Xenopus tropicalis: one gene and its partners. The protein of the gene in region 1 purifies or fractionates together with the protein of each later gene. This does not show direct contact. Links are inferred from orthologs where the notes say so. Each region holds a gene or a part of one and is shown on either strand. Other genes may lie near its edges.

Region 1 (4,090 bases):
GTTCCTGCACTGGTACAGCTGGGGTGTTTGCTACAGAAACCCTACTATAGTTTATATAAATACCCCGCTGTGTAGCCCCGGGGGCAGCCGTTCCTGCACTGGTACAGCTGGGGTGTTTGCTACAGAAACCCTACTATAGTTTATATAAATACCCCGCTGTGTAGCCCCGGGGGCAGCCATTCCTGCACTGGTACAGCTGGGGTGTTTGCTACAGAAACCCTACTATAGTTTATATAAATACCCCGCTGTGTAGCCCCGGGGGCAGCCATTCCTGCACTGGTACAGCTGGGGTGTTTGCTACAGAAACCCTACTATAGTTTATATAAATACCCCGCTGTGTAGCCCCGGGGGCAGCCATTCCTGCACTGGTACAGCTGGGGTGTTTGCTACAGAAACCCTACTATAGTTTATATAAATACCCCGCTGTGTAGCCCCGGGGGCAGCCATTCCTGCACTGGTACAGCTGGGGTGTTTGCTACAGAAACCCTACTATAGTTTATATAAATACCCCGCTGTGTAGCCCCGGGGGCAGCCGTTCAAGCTGGAAAAAAGGAGAAAAGGCACAGGTTACATAGCAGTTAACTAGTAGATAAGCCCCATATAGTGGGTGTTTATCTGTTATCTGCTTAGTAACCTGTGCCTTTTCTCCTTTTTTCCAGCTTGAACGGCTGCCCCCGGGGCTACACAGCGGGGTATTTATATAAACTATAGTAGGGTTTCTGTAGCAAACACCCCAGCTGTACCGGTGCAGGAATGGCTGCCCCCGGGGCTACACAGCTGCTTATTTATATAGTAGCTTTTCTGTAGCAAAAACACCAGTTTTTTGCAGAGCAACAGCACATTATATTTTAATTACTTTAAAACACTTTAATTAATGTTACTGTTCCTTTAATACTAAAGGTAATATATCAGCTGGGTGCAGTTACCAAACGTGCCCACTGGGTGCCGCTGTGTAAGTGCAGCGCTTACTGTTCCAGCCTGATAGCGCTCAAAGTAATAACATGTTTGGCTGCCGCTGGCCACAGAGAGTCGCTATGGAAGCTGCAGATGCGCGCAGTGCGGTTGGGGAACACTAGGTGGCGCTGCTCATGTGTAACATCAGTCGTTCGCTGCGCTGTCGTTTGGCTGAGTGCAGTACTGCTGGTGAGCACTAGATGGCGCTATTGCACTAGGCACAGTGCCGCTGCTGGATACCGTTATGAGCGGAAGAGGCTGCTGCCCAATAGACGCCCCCTGTTGTGCTGCTATAGATATTGCGCTACAGTGCAACACCCATGGTGTCCGCTAGGAGTCGCTGTCCCCCGCAGTTTCCCCCCATTGGCTGCAGAGATGGGGGATTTAGAGGCCGGGGAAACTACTGTGGAAAAACCCGAGCCTCCCCCTGCCCCCCCCGCGGAAGAGCCGGTGCTGTGGAGCCCGGAGGTTGAGGTGTGTCTGTTCCATGCGATGCTCGGCCACAAGCCGGTCGGTGAGTGGAGGCCGCGGCCCATCCCCGGACTCGCGTAATCTGGGAACCCGGGAAGGGGGGGCTTCCGGTCCGGGTGGCGTCGGGACATGGCGGCCCGGGGCGGGATGAGGGGCTCTGGGTGTCTGTACCTGGGGGGGTAGGGGCACTATATCGGGCACTTTGGGGTTATTGTACCAGTGAGTGTAATTACACCGCAAAAGTAAAGTCCTGGGCAGTAACCTATAGCAACCAATGGGATCTTTGTTTCTATTGTTCTCTGCGGCTGAAAGAGAATCGCTGATTGGTTGCTCTGGGCTTTTGCTGCAGATTTGCCCCCTGTGTATAAATACATTCTATTTGGGGGGTATTTGGGCAGAACTAGGGGGAACCCTAATAACCATGTGACTACGGGACTCATTAACCCTTTGGCAGACGCAGGGCACAACTGACTCTTCTTTTTGCCCCTCGCAGGCGTGAACCGCCACTTCCACATGATCTGCATCCGGGACAAGTTCAGCCAGAACATCGGGCGCCAGGTCTCATCCCGAGTCATCTGGGAGCACCTGCGGAGCATGTACGATATGCAGGCCTTGGTAGGTGGCCCCGGGGAATGGGGGGGGCATTTCCTTACACTTCCAGGTGAGGTAGCCCCGCCCCCTGCTGTTTGCTCCACCCCTGCGCCCCCCTAACCTCCTGCCGTTACTTTCCCGTTGCAGCACGAGTCTGAGATTCTCCCCTTCCCAAACTCGGAGAAGAACTTCATTCTCCCGGAGGATCTGATTCAGGAGGTGAAGGAGGGTGAGTGTCAGCCTTTGGGTCCAGTTGCCCTCTGGGTACTGACCTAATGCTCTCTGTACCCCATTACTAACCTTGTGCCCCCCCCCGGGGCCCCCATACAGCCGGGCCCTAAAGGTCTGTGTCCCCTCCTCCTCTCTGCAGGGAAGGTGACGTCGGAGGAGGAGCTAAAGGAGGAAGTAAAGGAGGAAGTGGAAATACACGGCGGCTCGGATGAAGGTGGGAAATATTGGGCTGAGGAGCTTGCAATCTGTTATTCAGCTTCCCAGCCTCGGCCCCTGAGGAGTCTGTAGGGGCAGCGCTTAAGGGGGCGGTTCCCCTTTAAGTTAACTCTTAGCATGCTACACAATGATCAGTTCTAAGCAACTTTTCAATTGGTCTTTATTTATTTTTTATAGTTTTTGAATTATTTGCCTCCTTTCAAGTTTTCAAATGGGGGTCACTGACCCCGGCAGCCAGAAACCTATTGCTCCGTGAGGCTCCAGTTTTATTGTAACGTTTTTGTAACTTTTTTTTCTATTCAGCCCCTCCTCCTATTCATATACCAGCCTCTCATTCCCTGGTTGCTAAGGTAACTTGGACCCCAGCAACCAATTAGCTGCTAAAATTCCAAACTTAAATAACTAAAAAACTACAAATAATAAAAAATGAAGACCAATTGCAAACTGTCTCAGAATATCCCTCTCTACATCGTACTAAACGTTAACTCAAAGGGGAACAACACCCGAAGGTGCAAGTTTTGGGTCTTCCAGAACCGTTTCAGCCCATTTCCGGAACCAAAAATACACCTCTATCATTGTCTCTATTGGAACACGGCAGGGGGAGGGGAGACTTGACCAATTCTTCCAAGTGCATTGTGGGTAATGGGTGGTTTCTTGGTGGCTTCAGGGGGTCGGAACTTCATCTCTGTTGCCATAGTAACATTTCAGTCATCGATATCCTCATTGTCAAGGGGAGGAGCTTCCTGTACCTGTATAAGTGCATTTAGCAGGGGGCAAACAGTATAGCCACCTGGGGGCAGCAAGTTTAGCAGTTGCCCCAGGCAGATAACATAACCTGGGTGGGGGCTTCTGTGGGGTATATACGTGAGGAGGGGTAGATTTAAGGGGCAACAGGCCCTGCCAGATGCCTCACTCATGGGTATTTCCTTCCTCTGCAGCTTTTGTCAACTCTGGGAATTCTGGGAAAGGGCTGGACAAAGCCCCCGGGAAAGAGCGGACCCTCTCGGAATCCAGCTCCAAGGAATCGGGGGACAAGCGCAAGCGGAGCCGGCTCACCGAGAAAGTGCAGAACGCAAACAGCAACCCGTCCAGCCCGAACGCCAACAAGCGCAGGCGCACATAGGGGCGGGGCTGAGAGAAGGGGTGTGGCTTCCCAAGGGGTCAGAACCGGCCCGCGTGTAACTGAACTAATGGGTTGTGTGAGAGTCAGAACATTCTGCCCCGGCTCTGGGGCAGTAGCCAGTAGACTGTAGATCTCAAGGATGTAAATATTTTTAGGGGGTATGTGGGGGGGGGGGGTAGTGAATCTACATCCGCGGGGGCTGGGCAGACTGTGGCCCAATCAAACCCTCGTTAATCTACTGATGAATAAATCAATTCATTTCCCAACCCCTCTAATCTATTAGCCACGGGCTGACCATCTTTTTTATACCCCCCCCCCCCCAAAAATCAGCTTTGGAACGTTCCACTTTGCTCTTTCATAATGAATTAGGCACAGTCAGCAGCCTGGGGCCCCCCCAGAAGGTTCCTCCAGGGAATGGGGGGCTCTGGCTGTTCCCCACTATAGAGTCTCGGGGGCTGTCCTGCGAGTGATTCAGGGAGTTCAATGAATTTATAATGAACTTTC
Region 2 (3,500 bases), on another chromosome or scaffold:
AAAAAAAATAGATATTATTAAGATACACTGCTTTGATGTAATCTTTCTTCAATTGATCTTTTTATTTTTTTCAGCACTGTGCCTCACAATATTCTGAACTGTTGGAAACTACAGAAACCCCAAAGTGAGTGTAAATTATTTACATTTTAATTTTACACTTGAAATGGCACTGCTTGCTATAAACAAAATGCAGAACGGTTGTGATATTGTATTCAAAGTGGTATAATGCTAGAAGAATTATATTTAACTAAATTTGATTTTTTGATGATCGTTTGGCCCTTCCTGCCTTATGATCAGTTATCTATATAGTTATCCGACATACAATATACTTATTGTGGCGGACTACATTAAAACTGTTATATCATAGAGGACCATAAAATGCTTTTAATAACCATATCTAGCCTGCAGGCCTAAACTTGTGAGGCCTCTTATTCTATATTATGTTTGCACTGTCTAAGATTTTCCATGTCAATTGGCAGTTATTTACATTTTCACTTGCTCAGGGACCAGAATAATAAAACAGATGTCATACAAAGGGGTGTGTGCAGACTTGGATTGTGGCATGGATTAGTGTTTTAGCTGTTATTTGTGAAAGAAAGGGCATATCTTTGCAATATTACAGAGCTATTACGGATAAATATGCTGTATGTCTTGGCATTAATATGATTATAGAAGGAAAAGGACTATACCATAATAACCCCAGGCAGTGAATCAAATCAACAGGGTTAAAGGAGGAGGACAAGGACAAGTTTGGTTGAAAAGACCATTAACTAATATAGCTAGGTTCAGTTTACAGTGGCATTGGTTCATCCAGGAGAAAATCAGTAGCACTCAGTTAGAGACCTGGGTCTGAATGTCAGTGACTAGTGAAGGAGCGTCTATGTATATCTGGGTGTCATCTGCATAAAAGTAATATTTAAGGCCAATTTAGGAGATAAGGTCTCCTAAAGATGTACAGGGAGAATAACAATGGGCCATGTTTAGAGTCCCGGGGCACCCACACACTAAGCTGAAACAGGGAGAACTTGTTAGAGCAGCTGTTAGAGAGGTAGGAAGAGAACAACAATGCTGCTTGATCTGGATGTTAAAAGAATAGAGACTTTGCATTAGAATGGGATAGTCAGCTGTATCAAAGGTAGATACATGCAGGAGAATGAGATTAGAATAGGGTCCTTTGGCCCTGACAGTTTGGAGATAATTTGCAACACTACATAAGACTGTCTTAGTGTCTCATGTTGAAAACCAGACTGCATAGGGTCTAGCAGATTGGGGGTGCTGAGAAAATTAGTATTAGAGAAAAGACAAGATGTTTCAGAAGATTAAAGGTTAGTGGTAGAAGAAGCGGGGATAGAGGTAGTTAGATAGGCAGGATGGATCAAGTGTGACCTTTTTAAAGGAACAGTAACACCAAAAAATGAATGTATTATATACTGTTGCCCTGTTTTATGTTTGCTTCAGAAACACTACTATAATTCATAGAAACAAAGCTGTTGTGTAGCCATGGGGGCAGCTATTCAAACTAAAATAGGGCTAAATGGCGCAGGTTACATAGCATAGATAAGTTTAACACCGTCCTATTCTACAGAGCTTATCTGTTATTTGCTATGTAAGCTGTGCCTTTTTTCCAGCCTTAAAGGCTGCCCCATGGTTATACAACCGCTTTTTTATATAAAGTATAGTAGTCTGAAGCAAACACACAGCTTTTACCAGTGCATGGCAACAGTAAAGGATTCTATTTTAATTACTTTCATTTTTGGTATTACTGTTTCTTTAAGAAACACAGGGCTGTTTGAATTAAGAAGGGAAATTACCAGAGGCTTAGGCTAATGCCACACGTAGCGTATGGAGCGTATTTTCGGCAAGCCGAAAAATGCTTGCCGAGAATATGCGCCATATGCTCTAAAAGGCCCCTACCTGTGCCTGCACCCGAATGAATGAAATATGCTCAGGTGCAGGTACATGTAGCTGATATCCACTAAAAAATCTTCATATTTTTGGCGGATATCAGCTACATGTGCCTGCAACCGAGCGTATTCCATTAATTCGGGTGCAGGCACAGGTAGGCTGAATTTACAGTAGCGGGGTGTATTCTCGGCAAACGGTTTCCGGCTTGCTGAGAATACGCCCCATGTGGGATTAACAGAAGACAATCTGTGGTTTTCATGTTTCTATTCTTCTATCTGGATTTTATTTTCAAGTAGCATTGTTGGTTTAGGGAATCATTTGCATTTTTGCAGAAGAACATGATACAATAGTTGTTATTTTCTTTATGTAAACCTAGGAAGTAAGTTTGTGCCAATTGTATTTATTTACTGTCCAGGCGAAAAAGAGGGGAAAGAGGTGAAGTAGTGGAGACTGTGGAAGATGTTATTGTACGGAAACTGACAGCTGAAAGAATTGAAGAACTGAAAAAAATGATTAAAGAGACTCAGGAGAAATACAGGTGAAGTTGCACAATAAATAAACATATACATACAGTTGCTGGCCTTGCAACAATATTTGTTACAAACGGAAAATAATCAGATTAACTGTGCAGCACTTAAAGGTTATTTTGAATTCTGAAAAAATTAATTCATTTTAAGCAAGGTTAAATAGTTTTAAAGTTATTTTGTAATTGCAATTGAAAAAGCAGTATTTTCTGTTCTCTAGTTCTACCTTTGGAAAAATGTAGCAGAAGTTAGTTCTTTCCAAGCGCATTAATCAGCTGTATTTTGCTACATTGTTTCAAGAGTCAGAATTTGAACATATAAAGGCCTTAAGTAGCATTCACAATAACAAATAACTTTACAACAATCATAGTAACTGTATATTGAAAAATTGCTTTGGATTATGTTTTCTTTTATTAAGCAAAATTGAAGTGAAAGGTGAAGTTTTCCCTTAACCCCAACAGTTTGTTTTATTTTTATGTACTATATTAGTTTCATCTTTGTGTGTATAGGAAACTGAAGAAAGAAGCAGAACTTATTCAGAGTGGTCATTTGGACAGCAAGCTGGAAGACCTGTGGAATGAGACTTTGGCGTGGGTTCTCTTTATACTGCACACTTACATTCAGACATTAGTAAGTGTAGGCTCATTTTGAAAACATTACTAACAAATTCAGTTTTGCTTTGTTCACTGTAGCAAAAAGAAGCAAGAAGAAGAGGAGGCAGAAATGAAGAGAAAGGCTACAGAGGCTGCATATCAAGGTAAAATTGTAAGGAATTGCTAGGTAGATAGTGACAACTGTATATTTTACAAGCTGAAGTTTACACTGGGAAGATACAGCCATCTGGGCTTTTCTACAAGTTTTGATGATACTCCATTATCCTCTCTGGAGGGACACAGGCACTTCAGGATTAAATCTAACTTTCAGGAGAAAAGGGCACAAAAAGAGAAAAGCAGTTGGCAACTCTCCTAGGGGCTCTGCTCATGCAACCCAATGTGCCCAGCACTTTAATAGTTTTGGACATGGACTGAGGGCAGGTTATTAGGGGCTCTTTCTGCTAGCCAATTTGGACAT
Region 3 (2,680 bases), on another chromosome or scaffold:
GAGAGCCATGCAGCCTTTCTTTTATATCTGTGTGTGTCTTGTACTTACTGAGAGCCATGCAGCCTTTCTTTTATATCTGTGTGTGTCTTGTACTTACTGAGAGCCATGCAGCCTTTCTTTTATATCTGTGTGTGTCTTGTACTTACTGAGAGCCATGCAGCCTTTCTTTTATAGCCGTGTGTGTCTTGTACTTACTGAGAGCCATGCAGCCTTTCTTTTATATCTGTGTGTCTTGTACTTACTGAGAGCCATGCAGCCTTTCTTTTATAGCCAGGCTATGCTACTTTTTTAATATTTCCTTGTATTCCCCAAACAGGAGCCAATTCAACTCCTTAAACCAAAGCCCAAGAAAGCAGATGCCCCTCCCAGCAGTGCAGCAAAAAGCCGCCCAGAAAAGCCTCACCCTCAGGAGACACCAGAGGACGCAGTAGACAGTGAGTATGCCGCGGGCAGTGAGCTAGGGGGTTTCCTATGCTCAGAATCCGATTGGCTCTCCTAACTAGTCTTCCCCTTTAAACTCTCAGGCCGCAAACAAATGCGCCAATCGACGACGGAGCACACGCGGCAGACTTTCCTGCGAGTAAAAGAGCGGCAGATCCAGTCCAAGAAAAAGAAGGGGCCCCACCAGGACCGACCGCTGACCCAGGTGGAGCTGCTGGAAGAAGCCAAGATCACCGAGGAGATCAACATCCGCTCCCTAGGTGCGTGAGTACCGCCACTCCCCGTCCCGCTCCGGTGCCCTCCCCCCCCCCCCCCCCGTGCTCCAATGGTTTCTCCCTTTCTCCCACAGAGAATTACGAGCGCCTGGAAGCCGACAGGAAGAAGCAGGTCCACAAGAAGCGACGGTGCGTCGGCCCCACCATCCGCCACCACTCGCTGGTCATGCCCCTCATCACCGAGCTCAACGTGAAGGAGGAGAATGTGGATGTGGAAGGGTAGGTGCAACATGGCAGCTCCTACTTTGTACAATTCCCTCTTCCCATTTGTTATGTGTAACAAGGGGCATCCTCAGTGGGCAAACCCATCAGTCATGTGATGCTGCCCTGTGTACATTACATTTCCATCCTTGATATTGAAGCAAACGCCTGGTTGTTAGGGTCAGTGACCCTAGCAACCAGATACTCACTTTCTTAACCATTACAACGTTTTCTCTTGTTGCTTTTCTTTTATGTGTTGGGGGCCACAGGCTGGATCAGGAGCAGACAGGGGACGGCGCCCAAGTTTCGTCCGCGGGCAAATGCTCCCGCACTTTCATAACATTCAGCGACGACGAATCCTTCGAGCGATTCTTCCCCAGGACCAAGCAGGGCAAGTTCTCAGTCCGGGACATCTGCCCCGTTACCCATAAGCCGGCCCAGTACCGAGACCCCATCACAGACATCCCCTACTATAACGCCAAAGCCTTCAAAATCATCCGGGACGCTTACAAAAAATACATCACCACGCACGGCCTGCCTAACGCCGCCATGGCGGCCGCTATGGGCCCCGCCCCCAGTTCTGCTGACGCCGCCCAACGCAACACGAGGCAGAAAATCATTATCAAGCAGAGCGTGCCAAGCGCCTGATACAGCGCCCTCTAGCGTCTGCCGGCCATTACAGCACTCTGAGAGAGTTATGTACAAAGGATTATTCCCATTGGGAAGCTGTAGAACATCTACAGGGGCCACATTGCTCCTCTGATTCCTGGAGTAGAAGAAATGGGAGGGGCCAGGGGGTTGAATTTCTTAATGAGCCCCCTCACATTTGGGGGGGGGGGGGCTGCTCCCCTTAGCAGTAATGTAATTGGCCGCCATTCAGTTCAAATTACCAAATGGTAAACCCCGCCCACCCCAAACACACACAGGGGACTGGGACACCTGCTTCCAATAGCAGCTAAACAAACAGTATGGGGGGTGGGGCAAAGGCACAGATGCAGTTACCAGGGTGGCTTTAACCTGACTGACGTACTGTATGTTATATAGGGCTGAGCTCTCTCTATAGGCTACTATCTGGTTGCTAGGGCTTGATTACCCTAGCAACCACACACCAGGTCCGATAACACACTATAAAAATTGAAGTCAGTTTGCATTTTGGTTTCCAGAGATGTTTTGTTGGTTAAATGCTCCTAGAGCACTGGGGGGGGGGGGGGGGGACTGTCTGTTATGTACATTATAATAAATTTGATTAGTAATTTCTGTGAATTGTAGTTAGTTGTGAGTTTTATTATGGCTTTTCATGCTGAGTAAAAGTACAGGGCGCCAGTGGCAGCATAGGGATTCCCCTGTACTAAGCACAATTCAGCAGGAACAGCCCCCTAAGTTTGCCCATAGCCTGTACAGAGAGATACCATAAAACTATGGCACATAGGGATTCCCCTGTACTAAGCACAATTCAGCAGGAACAGCCCCCTAAGTTTGCTCTTAGCCTGTACAGAGAGATACCATAAAACTATGGCACATAGGGATTCCCCTGTACTAAGCACAATTCAGCAGGAACAGCCCCCTAAGTTTGCCCATAGCCTGTACAGAGATATACCATTAAACTATGGCACATAGGGATTCCCCTGTACTAAGCACAATTCAGCAGGAACAGCCCCCTAAGTTTGCCCATAGCCTGTACAGAGAGATACCATAAAACTATGGCACATAGGGATTCCCCTGTACTAAGTACAATTCAGCAGGAACAGCCCCCTAAGTTTGCC
Region 4 (3,500 bases), on another chromosome or scaffold:
GAAACAGTAAAACTTCTAAATCATTTTTATTAAAAAATAAAAATAGTGTCCTTAAATACAGTTTTAGCAAATTACAGTTCTAAGCAATTTTTCAGCCAACCTGTGCCTATTTTTATTCTTGCGTTTCTTGTGACTGCTGTGATGGCCACCAGAATTGGCTGAAGAAGCTGCTTTTTGAGGTTTAACACCAGACAGGGAACCATCTAAATCCTCTGTATCATCTTGGCTAGGCTCATTTTCTTGGTTCTGAAAATCTGGAGAGTTGTCGCTCTCTGTTCCGCTGCCTGGCTCCCCTAAAAAAAAAAACAGAGCAAGACCGCATAAGATGCAGTCAAAAAAATCCACGAAAATGAAAACACACAATTCTATAACTGCAGCTAATGCATACATGGTACAGATGGGCTACCTACCATTGCCAACATAAAATGTAATGATATACAAACCCTTTTTAAAGTCTTATGATACTGATAAATAACAGCTCAAAGATTACTTTAACATTTCAGAGCATGTTGGAGTATGATGTAAGTATAAGGAAGGTTTTGGCAAAAAGAAAGAATAGTGGAGATCCTGCGCAAGACAGTATCTGAAAGTAAATCAGCAATAAAAGATGCATGACACATTAAATTATGCTCTCATCTCACTTGAAGACAAATACAAAGCAAAAAAACATATAAACATTACACTCACGTTTCTCAATCAGCTGGTCTTGAACACCTGCCAATGCACTGACAGCCTAAAGTGTAAACACAAATATTTGTTATAGAGCAATAAGGCACTTTCTATAGCAGCTTAGAATATAATATGAGCAAGTTGAACAGAAGGACTCGTCTAACTGGAGATTCAACACCTGAATGTGGCATTCCAAATTAATTTAAGGCACTGGCGTACATATGCACCCCACAGATTTTTTATGTCATAATTGAATTATAATCTGGTCCACAAACTTACTGGTTACCACCTAATTGGTCCACTTTTTATTATAAGTTGGACAGCACAGTTCTACATAAATGACCTGTACAAGAACCCAGAGATCCAAAATGTTTTTCGATGTGGCTATGCCCTAAAAAAATCTGTACATAGACTGAAACTGTAATTACCAAAACAAGATTACCATGCAAATGAAAAGATGGTCATAATCAGGCCTTATAAGTTGGCCATTCTAAGGGCTATGGCACACGGAGTGTTTAGTCTAGTGATGCCATCCAGAAGAAAACAACAGTAAACAAAATACCATTGTCCATCTGCCTGTTAGTAATTAATGAAATGCGCCAAATTGTAAACCCATGCAGTGGTGGCAGTAAGACTGTGGTATGAAAACTGTGCTTTTCATTAAAGAAGAACTAAACCTCCCCTAGACAAAAGCCCCCCATCCACTGCCTTCCAATGAGCCCCATCCTTGCTCCCTCCCCTTTGAGTCTATTTCAATGAAAAGTGTCTCTGTAAAGCTGACCTACAGATGCAGAATACCACAGCGGAGCTAGCTAGTCATTTTAGGGATTATAAAATAAAAGGTTTACTTATTCTTTAATGTTCATTCATTACTAACCATGAAAGCTTTCTTAAATTGTACTTACAGCAGCTGATGTTACGGAAGATTTGCTAAAAAGTCGTTCTGCTTCTTTGAACTTTCTGTTCCTCCTATCATTCTTACTGTTTGAATTCCTGCAATAGAAAATTTTGTTTACTAGATTCACATATAAAAATATATTTGGCACTATTCTCCAGCAAGCCCTTTCTCATAGGTATCCATAGTGTATGATTATTGGCAACCATACTGTTCATATTCATAGACAAAATTTTATGAAATTACATGTATTGCCAGTTTCAGAAGGAACAAATAACATTCTAAACTACAGTGCACTTCAATGCATTCTTTTTCTAAATACTGTCAGGAGTTCATATTTTGCTTCATATTGCAGCATAAATTGTAATGCACATTAACTGGAAAAAAAAGCATATTAAAGCATTGACCATAAATCCCAGATCTTTAATAAAGTGAGTTATAGCAGTAAATGTAGTTGTGGTTGGGGGACTACTGTAGTCTGTTAAACAGTAAGTGAATCAGATTAAGTTGTATTAATCTTTTCATCAAATTTCTAAAGCAAAGGGCATATAGGGTTAAACAAAAACAGAAGCTTACTAATCCAAACTTACTTTTGATTTGTTAGGTAACGGTCCCAACCTCTGATAATGTTACCATACATCTGTGTGTCTTCCAAGTAACTCCCTTCAAAAGCATAGATCTGCCGTTCTAAATTTGCAAGTGTCTCCTATGGAGAGAGACAAATCACAACTTTTTAAAAATGCTAAATATTTATGGACACAATATTAGGACAGTTGGTATATACACAGATTAAAAAACATTTGCAGGTCTGTTACATGATTCATATTGTGACAGAAGTCAAAGATTTAGGGGGTTATGTAATAAAGTGCACTAAGTTTGCCCAAGAGAAGTAAACCATAGCAACCAATTAGCAGGTAGAATTTACTGGTCACCTGTTTAAAAGCACACTTCTAATCTTATTGGTTGCTATGGGTAACTGCTACATCTTTTATTGCATACGGGGTTAGACTTTCTCAAGTAGGCTAAAGGGACCGATATTACACTGTAATTGCTTCTAATGTATCACCTCAGATACTCAAGTAGTTTCAATGGCAACCACATGTATCAGCATAAAATGCCCACCCACTCAGTAATTGGGTAATAAGGATCCATACAGTTCTAATTTACTGAACAGAAGCGTAGCACATAACAGTTTTACATGGGTGGTGTGTTGATTTTAACATATGATTCGTAAATATTGGTACCATATAGTATACAATTACATGCTGATGCATTTGTGAGACTTAGAAGCAGAGTCAGTTGACTTGTGGCATATGGGGCAGGGATCCAAATGCCACCTTTACCACTGCATTAAAACCTTGGTAATTTCCACATAGAACATGCTGCCAACAAAATGGATAATGGTGCTTTTCAAATTCAGCTCACCCCAACAAAGTAAAAAGCAGTGTTTTCAATTGCTGTTGTCAAAAGTTGCTCTCAAGTGCGTGCTCTTGTCCCAGGAACATTTGCGCACCCACTGCAAACTATCAGCAGTGTGCACACAAACTTTCCTGGGACAAGAGTGGCTATAGAGAAAAACAGGGTCTGCTTTCTCTGTAGTTACGCTACTGAAAGTTACTATATTTGGATCATGGCACATGGAAACAATATTGCATGAAAAACAGTGTTGTATTCGTAATTATGTGAATAATCACAGTTTTTTTTTATATGATGGGGAAACATTCAGTTAAAAGCAAGTTGTGAAGTCACCAAGATAAAACACTGCATTAAGACCCATCCAGGATAGCTGTTGGGACATATGACTGCTGTCCATTGATGGGGTAACACTTTTACGGATCCTTAAATCAAAAAGTTTGCTTAGCCAAGTACATAATTAATTGGTTAGAAATTTGTTTGACATTCTTGCTTTCCAACAACATAGTTTGAAAAGTACTCC
Region 5 (3,500 bases), on another chromosome or scaffold:
GTCTGAATGGGCTCTGTCAAGGAGCACCCTGTAGAAACAAAGATTGGGAAATAGAGTTTAACCCTCAAATTATAAACAGACTGAAAACAAGCTTTGATTGCATTAAAGGACATGTAAAGCCTACATTTGCCTACAATGTCTATCAGTTGGGCACATTTTCCCCACCCAAATGGCATCATTTGTACTGCATATATCCCCTCCGTTTGCCAGCACCATCACATTTTCCTAAACCAAATAGCAGCTTTCACCTGGTGGCCATTATTTCTCTGATACATTTAAATCTGCAAACAGCCTACACACACAAAAACTCTTATTCAGCATACATTTCATCAAGGATACAGGCTCACACAGGCACAAATGTCTTTGATAAAAGTTCTGCTTTGTTTGAGCACTGTAATGGTAAAGCTGAGCTCAGGAGAAAACAATTGAAGCAGACAGCTAGAGCTGAGTTTCTATAGGAAGCAGCAATGCCATCTCTTCACTGGCTGCTAGACTGGGGGGCGTGTTTAGTAATCTGAGCATGTCCACAAGCCAACAGCCAAAGCAAATTCCTGAGGGCGGGGGCTGAGTGGGTTACAGGAGGAGAAGGAAATCTAAGTGATTAAGGGGATGTTGCAGCCTTACTATTAACCTCTGGACAACCAGTGTGGCAGGTATTGAAAGATTTCAAAGAGGCTGTTCACTGATTAAATTTGTGTGTGTGGAGTTTACATGTCCTTTAATAAGAGACAGTATTAATTACACTTAAGCATTCTGTTTCTAAAAAATAGGAAATAGAGCAATATTTAAAATCTTCTTCTAAATTAAACATAGGTAGGTGCATGAAACAAAGTTTTGAAAGTATAAAATGTAAAGGGATGTGGTGCAGTTCCAGACAAAATAAATGATATATGGTGCTTCACATTCTGCCACTTGCTCTCATGCCTAGCTGGCCCAGCCTTAAAGGACAAGGAAAGGTATTTTGACATTTTACAGCAAATATTTTCGCCACATTAGTGCAAGCTAGAACGCTATATTTGTTCTGCAAAAAGCTTTACCATATCAGAGTAAACAGCCCTAGAAGCTCCCTCTGTTTTTTTTGAGATAGTAGCTGCCAATTTAGCTTGGTCTCAGTAGTTTCCGTGCTGCAGCTCCAGCTGCTGGTAGCTTAGATTACACAGCACGGTTGGGAGGGGGAGCGAGGTGCACAGACTTGTGCCCTGCTCTGAAGGATTTTTTTCCGAGAGGAAGTGAGATAGCAAAGAACAAGTTTAAACAATAAAAAAAAAAGAATTTCTGAGTTTCTTTTGATAGAAGACTCAGTGCAGCTTTTATGTGAGTGAGGTGTACTTACATGGACCTTTCTGATTAAGCTTACTTGGTTTTTACCTTTCCTTCTCCTTTAAAAGAGGAGACACACATTGGCACAACCAGATTTTTAGGTAAATTACCTCATCTGTAATTACCTGGGCCAACAAAGTATATAGCCGTCACTACGGTAACCTTACAGATGATAAAGCAGCTATAATGTATTTAACAAGATATCTTACCTTCCACCACGTCCAACCCGTCTTCGCGCAAATCCAATACACTTGCGGGGAACAGTGAGAGTAGTGAGGCAGTATCTATAGCGAATTTCTCCAAGACCTCCTTCCTCAGGACTACACCATGGCCAGTTGCCAGTTTGGTCCAAATGTGGCTTGGAATTACAAGGAGGAAAACCTTTATTATTAGTATACAACAAACACCACTTGTCTGTGTATAGGCATGAGGACTGTTACTTACAGCATAGTAATTACAGCCAGCTTTCCTACGGAAAGCAAATGGACCATCTGGATCATTTTCTTCCTCAGCCTCTGAGGAGCCAGACATGACCTGGTAAAGAAACCAGAAAAAAACACCAGTGAAGATCATGCTCAACATTTCCTATTACTCATTGCAATGACTTATTTTGACAGCTTTCCTGAACATTTGCCTTTCACTGCTTTGTGAAGATCTTATTATTTCACTAGCGGATGTAATCGGGAATGTGATGTAACACTTAATAAAACTTATGCAAGAAACCGGTGTGTGCGTACATCTTTATAGACAGACTAACATTAGGTGTGCAACAGTTTTAGGAGTGTCTAGCCAATAACTAAAACCTTACCTCAAATCTCACCTACATTACTTAGCCCCCAACAACCACTGCATGTCCCCCAAAAGGACTGTCTCAAGAGGCACAATTACACTTATTGAAGCCTGAAATAATAAAAGCAGCATACCTGGGAGAGAGGTTCATCATCAGAGCTGGGAAAGTCATACTGATTCAGATCCTTAGCATTAAACACTGGCAGTGCAGCAGGACTTGTCTGTTGAGCAGCAGGTAAGACTTTGGGCTTCTTCTCATATTTTCTTTTCGGTCGAACAGCATCAGATTTTTCTTGCTAAAATGAATTTGAATGGTCTTAAAATATGAATTCAGTTATTTAATAACTGTTACAGACATCAGTCTATAATAATCGCCATTTATAAGATAGAACTGTGCTTTGCTTATGTGAACTGCTCACAATTAATATCCTCGCTTATCACTAGTTCCACAAAATGTGCCTTCACCAGGAAACCAATACAAAACATTATATATTAGCCACTATAAAGATATATTCTCTTTATACGGAGAAATAAAAATGGTGAGTGCATAATTCTTTTTCTCTATCTTTTTATCCTGTAGCTTCGATGATGTTGTATTTAAATTGTTTCCCGTGCTGAGTGGCTGTATTCTAAGGTCACGTTTAATTTGTCACAGTAGGACAAGGCAGTTAACCAGGTCAAGTGGTTTGCATATATCTAATAAATGAAACATGTTTCCTGAATGGTCTGTAAATTCATGAACCCACAAAATCCAGTATTAAGGTAATGTTAAAAACACTATGTGAAATAAACAAATCTTACCTTATTAACTTTAATATCTATTGTTTCTTTATGTAAAAATGGAATAGGAGAAATAGGCATGAGGGGGATAGTATAGGTGGGCTTCAATGGTTGACGATGTGCCATAACCTCTGATAGAATTTCGCCATTAAAGTCCCCTAAGTTATACCTGAATAAAGAGAGAAAAAAACGGCTACTAAAATAGTGCTTAATTTAAAAAAAATAAAAAAAAAAATCAATAAAAATGGTTTCAAAAATGTATGCTAACCCTATTTTGGCTATTTTTTCCCCCAAAAAATTAAATAGTATAGTAGTAAGCATTTAATATTAACAGAAGCCACCAGATGTACACTGTACCCTACTTAAACCGTTTCAAGCTGTAATCAGGCTGAATAAAGTTGTGTTATTGCGCTGAGGTGAATTTGCCTGTGCCAACCAGTAGGTGGAGCTCCTCATCCAACATTGTGCTCATATAGCTGGTTATGTTTAAAAACCAGTTACAAATCATATTGCACAGCACTCTAGAAATAATTTAAATAAGCAAGGAACTTCAGCACAGAGTCAGGCACCTGTAGCAAAAGCAACAAGTACAGGCTAGAACTTAAATGGGG

Evidence for each region. The genes of interacting proteins can lie anywhere in the genome.
Region 2: the proteins of mrgbp (region 1) and brd8 purify together in Homo sapiens (affinity purification with mass spectrometry; 10 studies listed by BioGRID and IntAct, counting the BioPlex papers as one, with this or other methods). This does not show direct contact. The link is inferred for Xenopus tropicalis from reciprocal best matches to the Homo sapiens genes MRGBP and BRD8.
Region 3: the proteins of mrgbp (region 1) and vps72 purify together in Homo sapiens (co-immunoprecipitation; 5 studies listed by BioGRID and IntAct, counting the BioPlex papers as one, with this or other methods). This does not show direct contact. The link is inferred for Xenopus tropicalis from reciprocal best matches to the Homo sapiens genes MRGBP and VPS72.
Region 4: the proteins of mrgbp (region 1) and meaf6 purify together in Homo sapiens (co-immunoprecipitation; 4 studies listed by BioGRID and IntAct, counting the BioPlex papers as one, with this or other methods). This does not show direct contact. The link is inferred for Xenopus tropicalis from reciprocal best matches to the Homo sapiens genes MRGBP and MEAF6.
Region 5: the proteins of mrgbp (region 1) and epc1 purify together in Homo sapiens (affinity purification with mass spectrometry; 6 studies listed by BioGRID and IntAct, counting the BioPlex papers as one, with this or other methods). This does not show direct contact. The link is inferred for Xenopus tropicalis from reciprocal best matches to the Homo sapiens genes MRGBP and EPC1.

What each region holds. Positions count from the first base shown.
Region 1 is NC_030686.2:2,538,002-2,542,091, reverse strand, and holds the start of mrgbp (MRG/MORF4L binding protein), read left to right. Parts: upstream 1-1,290; 5' UTR 1,291-1,329; coding exon 1,330-1,468; intron 1,469-1,918; coding exon 1,919-2,040; intron 2,041-2,163; coding exon 2,164-2,245; intron 2,246-2,386; coding exon 2,387-2,461; intron 2,462-3,401; coding exon 3,402-3,586; 3' UTR 3,587-4,090.
Region 2 is NC_030679.2:47,835,073-47,838,572, reverse strand, and holds part of brd8 (bromodomain-containing protein 8), read left to right. Parts: intron 1-74; coding exon 75-124; intron 125-2,320; coding exon 2,321-2,443; intron 2,444-2,938; coding exon 2,939-3,019; intron 3,020-3,121; coding exon 3,122-3,186; intron 3,187-3,500. UniProt on the Homo sapiens protein: May act as a coactivator during transcriptional activation by hormone-activated nuclear receptors (NR). Isoform 2 stimulates transcriptional activation by AR/DHTR, ESR1/NR3A1, RXRA/NR2B1 and THRB/ERBA2.
Region 3 is NC_030684.2:137,929,488-137,932,167, reverse strand, and holds the end of vps72 (vacuolar protein sorting-associated protein 72 homolog), read left to right. Parts: intron 1-316; coding exon 317-434; intron 435-524; coding exon 525-701; intron 702-790; coding exon 791-935; intron 936-1,186; coding exon 1,187-1,565; 3' UTR 1,566-2,180; downstream 2,181-2,680. UniProt on the Homo sapiens protein: Deposition-and-exchange histone chaperone specific for H2AZ1, specifically chaperones H2AZ1 and deposits it into nucleosomes.
Region 4 is NC_030678.2:86,132,697-86,136,196, forward strand, and holds part of meaf6 (chromatin modification-related protein MEAF6), read right to left. Parts: intron 2,271-3,500; coding exon 2,155-2,270; intron 1,663-2,154; coding exon 1,575-1,662; intron 734-1,574; coding exon 688-733; intron 294-687; coding exon 101-293; intron 1-100.
Region 5 is NC_030682.2:22,943,313-22,946,812, reverse strand, and holds part of epc1 (enhancer of polycomb homolog 1), read right to left. Parts: intron 3,059-3,500; coding exon 2,911-3,058; intron 2,406-2,910; coding exon 2,244-2,405; intron 1,855-2,243; coding exon 1,765-1,854; intron 1,679-1,764; coding exon 1,530-1,678; intron 29-1,529; coding exon 1-28. UniProt on the Homo sapiens protein: Component of the NuA4 histone acetyltransferase (HAT) complex, a multiprotein complex involved in transcriptional activation of select genes principally by acetylation of nucleosomal histones H4 and H2A.